Linked DNA regions of Anolis sagrei. The protein of the gene in region 1 purifies or fractionates together with the protein of each later gene. This does not show direct contact. Links are inferred from orthologs where the notes say so. Each region holds a gene or a part of one and is shown in the gene's direction. Other genes may lie near its edges.

Evidence for each region.
Region 2: the proteins of ILK (region 1) and CCT8 purify together in Homo sapiens (affinity purification with mass spectrometry; 4 studies listed by BioGRID and IntAct, with this or other methods). This does not show direct contact. The link is inferred for Anolis sagrei from reciprocal best matches to the Homo sapiens genes ILK and CCT8.

The regions. Positions count from the first base shown.
Region 1 is NC_090023.1:1,050,683-1,054,437, reverse strand, and holds the start of ILK (integrin-linked protein kinase), read left to right. Parts: upstream 1-1,144; coding exon 1,145-1,233; intron 1,234-2,303; exon of another isoform or gene 2,304-2,324; intron 2,325-3,755. Other genes in the region: RRP8 (ribosomal RNA-processing protein 8), read right to left, coding at 434-517. UniProt on the Homo sapiens protein: Scaffold protein which mediates protein-protein interactions during a range of cellular events including focal adhesion assembly, cell adhesion and cell migration.
Region 2 is NC_090023.1:68,093,964-68,097,718, reverse strand, and holds the start of CCT8 (T-complex protein 1 subunit theta), read left to right. Parts: upstream 1-1,116; 5' UTR 1,117-1,234; coding exon 1,235-1,294; intron 1,295-3,755. UniProt on the Homo sapiens protein: Component of the chaperonin-containing T-complex (TRiC), a molecular chaperone complex that assists the folding of actin, tubulin and other proteins upon ATP hydrolysis.

The DNA.
Region 1 (3,755 bases):
GTGGAGTGTGGTGGAGGCTCCTTCCTTCTTTGGAGGCTTTGAAGCAGAGGCTCGATGGCCATGTGTTTGGAGGGGTTGGCTCATCATCACAATAATAATAATAGTTACAACATGAGGAAGAACTTCCTGACTCTGAGAGCTGTTCAGTGTTGGAACTCTCTGCCCTGGAGTGTGGTGGAGGCTCCTTCCTTCTCTGGAGGCTTTGAAGCCGAGGCTGGATGGCCATCTGTTGGGGGTGTTTTGAACGTGACTGCCCTGGATGGTAGCCAACTGGAGGATTGTAGGATTCTAAGGCCCAAACCAGAGGCTGGATGGCCATCTGTTGGGGGTGTTTTGAACGTGACTGCCCTGGATGGTAGCCAACTCGAGGATGGTAGGATTCTTAGGCCCAGGCCTTAGCCCAAGAGGACCCCCAGCCACCCCTTCTCCTCACCTTGCCCGCCCTCTTGGTTGTCCCCCAGGGCGCCGTCGTCCCCACCGAGGTCCCGCCCTCGTCCCACTCGCCCTCCTCGAACATCTTCCTCCCGGCGGCGGTGGAGCCAGGCAGGAAGGAGGGAAGCCCGGAAGTGGCACGCTGCGGACCGGAAGGAAGGAAGTAAGAAAGGAAGGAAGTTCCGGCGATAGAGAGGGAGAAGGAGAGAGCGCCCCCTGGAGGCCCCCTCCCTCCCTCCGTGCTGCCTTGTGGTAGTAGGAAGGAAGGAAGTTCCGGCGATAGAGAGGGAGACAGAGAGAGAGAGAGAGCGCCCCCTGGAGGCTCCCTCCCTCTCGGCTGCCTTGTGGTAGTAGGAAGGAAGTAAGTTCCGGCGATAGAGAGGGAGAAGGAGAGAGCGCCCCTGGAGGCTGGCTCCCTCCCTCCCTCCCTCCGTGCTGCCTTGTGGTAGTAGGAAGGAAGTCAGTTCCGGCGATAGAGAGGGAGACAGAGAGAGAGAGAGCGCCCCCTGGAGGCTCCCTCCCTCGGTGCGGCCTTGTGGTGGTAGTGATGCTAGTGTGGGCTCCGCCCTTGCAGTCCCTTGTCCGGCCAGGAGGGAGTGGGCGCCGCCCCGGGTGGGAGACCCACGCACAGCCACAGCCACGAAGGAGGGAGAGCTGAGGAGGAGCCTTCCTGCCTGCCTGCCTGCCTTCCTCCCTTCCTTGCAGTCCGGCCATGGACGACATCTTCGCGCAGTGCCGGGAGGGCAACGCCGTGGCCGTGCGGCTCTGGCTGGACAACACCGAGAATGACCTCAACCAAGGGTCAGTCTGATGGGCATCCGGATGGACCTCTCTCCGGAGGGGTTGGGACGGGTCCCGCCATGGCAGGGAGGGAGGAGGGAAAGAGGCAGGCCTGCTGGCCCTCTGCAGGGAGGGGTTAAACGGGGCCCGTGGGGGGTGGGGTGCTCTCCCAATCCAGCATGGAGACAGGCCTCCTTCTGGGACCTTTCAAAGGGGGCTGCTGGCCCTCTCTCCGGAAGGGTTGGCTCCTCATCATCACAACAACAACAACAACAATAGTCTTAGATACTTAATAATAGTCATCATCACAATAATAATAGTAATAGTAGTCCTAGACACTTAATAATACCAATAATAGTCTTAGACACTTAATAATAATAATAATAATAATAATAAGTCTTACACACTTAATAATAATAAGTCTTAGACACAATAATACTAATAATAGTCTTAGACAATAATAATAGTAAGTCTTAGACACTTAATAATAATAATAAGTCTTAGACATTTAATAATAATAAGTCTTAGACACTTAATAATAATAATAATAGTCTTAGACACTTAATAATAATAATAAGTCTTAGACACTTAATAATAATAATAAGTCTTAGATACTTAATAATAATAATAATGTCTTAGACACTTAATAATACTAATAATAGTCTTAGACAATAATAATAATAAGTCTTAGACACTTAATAATAATAATAAGTCTTAGACATTTAATAATAATAAGTCTTAGACACTTAATAATAATAATAATAGTCTTAGACACTTAATAATAATAATAATAAGTCTTAGACACTTAATAATAATAATAGTCTTAGACAATAATAATAATAATAGTCTTAGACATTTAATAATACTAATAATAGTCTTAGACATTTAATAATAATAATAATAAGTCTTAGACACTTAATCATCATCATCATCACAATAGTAATAATAATAATCCTAGACACTGAATCATCATCATCACAATGATAATAATTTTAATAATAATAATAACATTCCTAGACACTTAATAATAATAATCATAATCACAATAATAATCATCATCTTCAGGGGGCGCTCTCTCTCTCCCATAACCATGAGAATGACCTCAACCAAGGGTCAGTCAGACAGTCAGCTCCATGGGCCTCGGGGGGGGGGGGGGGGGGGACCTCTGTCGGGAGGGGTCGGGACGGGTCCCGCCATGGCACAAGGGAGGGAGGGAGGAGGAGGGAAAGAGGCAGAGCTACTGGCCCTCTACCGGGACGGGTTAAACAGGGCCCTGGGGGGGGGGTGCTCTCCCAATCCAGCATGGAGACAGGCCTCCTTCTGGGACCTTTCAAATGGGGCTGGCCCTCTCTCCAGAGGGGTTGGCAATAATAATAATAACAATAGTCCTAGACACGGAATAATAATAATAATCATCATCATCATCACAATAATAATAATAATAATAATAGTAGTAGTAGTCCTAGACACTTAATAATAATCATCATCATCATCATCATCATCACAGTAATTATAATTATAATCTTAGACACTTGGGAGATGTCCGACGTGTGGACTCATCTTGTAGTGCTTCAAATAATAATAATAGTAATAGTCTTTATTTATACTCCGTCACTATCTCCCGACTCAGGGCGGCTAACAATAATAGTAATAATCACAATAATAATAATAATAATAATAATAATAATAATTCTAGACACTTAATAATAATAATCACAATAATAATAGTCCTAGACACTTAATCATCATCATCATCACAATAGTAATAATAATAATAGTACTCCTAGACACTTAATAATAATAATAATAGTCCTATATACTTAATAATAATAATAATAATAATAATAACAGTCTTAGACAATAATAATAATCTTAGACACTTAATACTAATAATAGTCTTAGACACATAGTAATAACAATAATAGTCCTAGATACTTAATAATAATAATAATAACAATAATAGTAGTCCTAGACAATAATAATAATAATAATAGTCTTAGACACTTAATAATAATCATCACAATAATAGTAGTAGTAGTAGTCCTAGACAATTAATAATGTAAATTGCCTACAGCATTCTCGGATGGAGGGCGATTAATAAGTTATTAAATATGATGATGATGATGATGATGATGATGAATAATCATCACAACAATAATAATAATACTCCTAGAAACTTAATAATCATCATCATCATCACAATAATAATAATCCTAGACACTTAATAATAATAATAATCATCATCATGATAATAATAACAATAATAATAATAGTAATAGTCCTAGACACTTGGGAAGTGTCCAACGTGTCATCCAACACAACAGCCAACAGAGTGATCTTGTCTGCTGTGGACTCATCTTACAGCGTTTCTAATAATAATAATAATAATAATAATCTTTATTTAAACCACGCCACCATCTCCCGACTTGGGGCGGCTAACAACAACAACAACAATAATAATAATCTTAGACACATAATAATAATAATAATCCTAGACACTTAATAATAATAATAATCATCATCATGATAATAATAACAATAAT
Region 2 (3,755 bases), about 67 Mb from region 1:
CAGTTCTGCAGCGTCCTGAAGATAACGTTTGTTTACGGCAAGACAAGGTCACTCTACGGACAACAAAGTAAAAAAGACTGTATATTATTCTGTTACATGCCTGTAAACCGCATTGAGTCGCCTGTTTGGGCTGAAAAATGCAGTATAGAAATAAAGCAAATAATAATAATAATAATAATAATAATATCGCCGTTGAATGAAGAGGACTCACCAAAGATATTGTTTTTTGTTATATTTTGGTGAAAGCAATTCTTCTGTCTTGTTTTGTATACAGTGAATAGAACTTCATTTTCATTTCTACTTAAAGCGAAAGATTCATGTGTTTTTTTATGAGTTAGTTTTATCACACGAGTTAAAAGGGCTAAGTCATTCTGTGGGCTACTAACGCTAACAGATGGCACTTGCAGTACCTTCACTCACTTCCTGAGACCACTGCCACCCTCATCCAATGACTTATCAAGACCTAACTTGGCGTACAGAACCCCCATGACCCAGTCTACATCCTGTTGGGATCTGAAGGACGATGGAGTATGGATGATGGGACTGGCAATACCTTCACACACTTCCTGAGACCACTGCCACCCTCATCCAATGACTTATCAAGACCTAACTTGGCACACAGAGCCCCCATGACTCAGTCTACATCCTGTTGGGATCTGAAGAACTATGGATGATGGGACTTGCAGTACCTTCAAACACTTCCTGAGACATCTGCCACCCTTACTCTAAGCCTAAGGGTTAGGGACTTACCATTAAAGAACTCTTTACATCTAATGACTTATCAAGACCTAACTTGGCACGCAGAGCCCCCATGACCCAGTCTACATCTTGTTGGGATCTGAAGGACGATGGACTATGGATGATGGGACTTCCTGAGACTACTTTGCTCAGAAACATTAGTCGAAGCTAGAGTATATCAAACCTTAGAATCTTGGGATTTGTAGTTCAGTGAGGCAGGGAAGGCTAGAAACCGTCCAAAAACTAGACTTCCCATGATCCCATAACATTGAGCCACAAAGTCGAGCCAAACGCAGGATCTTCTCAGCGGCGCATGCGCAACTCTTCCTCATTTTGGGTCGCTCCTCCACTCCCTCCCTTTGTAGCGCCTCCTTTTTTCTTATTCTGCGCCTGCGCGCGAAGGGGACGACGGGAGGCCGCCGCTCGCGCACGCCGCTCCAGCCCTTTTCGGTACTTCTCCGCTCGTGGCCTTCAGGAAGAAAGAAAGAGAGAGAAGATGGCGCTGCACGTCCCGAAAGCCCCGGGCTTCGCTCAGATGCTGAAGGAAGGCGCGAAGGTGAGAGAGAGGAGCGCTCGGCGGGGGTGGGGGGGGGGGGGTGGCGAACACGGAAGGTTCCAGAAGCCGAGGCCTGGCCCATGGAGTTCTGAGGGAACACGCGCTGCTCGGGGGGCGGAGCCAAAGGGACCACCGAGAGAGAGCGCTGCTGGCCTCCTTCCCTTTCCTTGCCCCGAGGGGGGTCCTTGGGTGCCTCCCTTTTCCTGCCGCCTTTCATTGCGGGACAGTTGCCTAGGGACCGGGAGGCTCGTGCGCCAAAGAGGCGTTGGCCCCAGCACTAACTGTCCCGCGTGCTGACGTAAGAGGTACGCGCCAGGCTTGGGCCGAGAAGGAGAAGCACCCCCCCCCCCGCTTTTTATTGCGAGTTTGTGATTCTGAAGCACAAGTAGTCCAAAAATGGCAGAGTGTCCCCTCCAGGTGGTTTGGATGCGCCACTTCATGCTTGCCTTTACAACCCATGCGCCCCCTTGGTGAGTGGGAAATGTATTTATTTATTTGAAGCATTTATACCCCGTCTTTCTGAGGGGGGACTCAGGGCGGCTTGCACTAGGCAACCATTAGATGGAGCACATTGAATTAACAAACGCCATTAAAACAATTATAAACATTCAAGAATTCTAAAGTATTGCTAGTTTAAAATCGTGATCCTAAATCAGTCCATTCCCGGTCACAGCAGTCATTCACATTCAAATCATTATATCTATTGCTCAAAGGCTTGACCCCAGAGCCAGGTCTTAAGTTTTTGGTGATAGTATGATAGCTGGGTCCAGAAACTCTGAGCATTACGCACATTCTGCAACGGTGGTTGTGAATAAGGGTTAGGGAGAGCGGCACACTAAGGGTGGGAATATACTTCATAGTTGCATTTGGTGGAAGGATAAAAAAGAAGTGAGGGTTAGGATAAGGTTTAGGGGTAGGGTAAGGTTTGGGGTTTGGGTTAGGATAAGGGTATGCCTTAGGGTAAGGGTTAGGGACTTACCATTAAAAAAACTCTTTACATTCCTTCTATAATATCTGTGTTCCATTCTGCGTTGCACAAACAGCGCTCCCAAAGGAGCGAAGCGGAAACAGCATAACGCTCAGAGCTTCCGGACCCAGCTTTCATACTATAACCAAGTTTAAAAAAAAAAAAAAACCAGGAGGGAGGGGACAGATCTGATATCATTTTGGGGGGATTTCCAAAGCCAAGGAGCCACCACCGAGAAGGCCCTTTCTCTCGTACCCACCACTCACGGTTGCAAGGAAAGGAGGTTTCCTGTATGCCTCTTGTTCCACCCTCCTGTTGTGACAGCAGCTTTGAAGTCACTTTATAAATCAGGCATAGGCAAACTTGGGCCCTCCAGATGTTTTGGATTTCAGCTCCCACAATTCCTAAAAACTGGTAGGAATTGTGGGAGTTGAAGTTCAAAACACGTGGAGGGCCCAAGGTTGCCCATGCCTGCTTCATAGAATCATAAAAGTTAGAAGAGACCCTAAAGACCATCCCATCCAATCCAACCCCATTCTGCCATGCAGGAACACACAATAAAGCATTCCCAACAGGAGGGCCCATACATCTTATATATTTATTATTTATTTCATTTTTGCCCCACCTTCTTCACCCAGTTGGGGACTCAAGGTGGCTTCAATGCCACATGGACATAACAATAAAACACACCCCATCAAATTATAAAAACAGTTAAAACATATGAGCAATTAAAACACATGAACAATAAAACAGATTAAAACCATGTAAAGTGCAGAGTCTTGATCCCATACTTATCCACAGTCGTTATTCAGGCTGTTAAAATCTAATTCTGTAATGTCCTATTCGCTAAACACCTGCAAACAAAGCCAGGTTTTAAGCTTTTTTTCTACAGACCAGGACGGGTAGGGCCTGCCTGATGTCATTAGGCCTGCCTGGTGTCATCTCCTGCATACCTCTAGAAAATGACTCAAAACACTAAAAGGCAGCACATTCCAGATTACCTGAGATATTAGGTTCCTTTGTACATACCGTGGAGAGCATTAAGATCAAGCATCCGCAAACATCTGTGACACTTTCCGTTTAAAGTTCACTAGAGGGGTCCTTCTCGGGAGTGGCTCCCTCTCTTTGAAATGCCCTCCCAGGGGAGAATAGATAAGCACCCTCTTCGTCTGCATTTAGGAAGAGCCTAAAAACTTCCTTTTCGAAGAAGTCTTCAGAGGAAAATAGCAATACCTTAAGGTTGGGAAGGCCCTTTGACTTTGTTACATATTATCATGGTGGCTTTAAATATATTTTATTGGGGTTTTCATTAGTATTCCACAGTATTAGCTAATACTTATAGTTTTAATTTGTCATTAATTTATATATGTTTCTACTGGCTGTAAGCCGCCTTGGGTCCTTGACTGGGGAAAGGCAGAGTATAAATTTCACATTTCATAAATAAATATTCTACTGTATTGTCGAAGGCTTTCATGGCTGGAATCACTCAGTTCT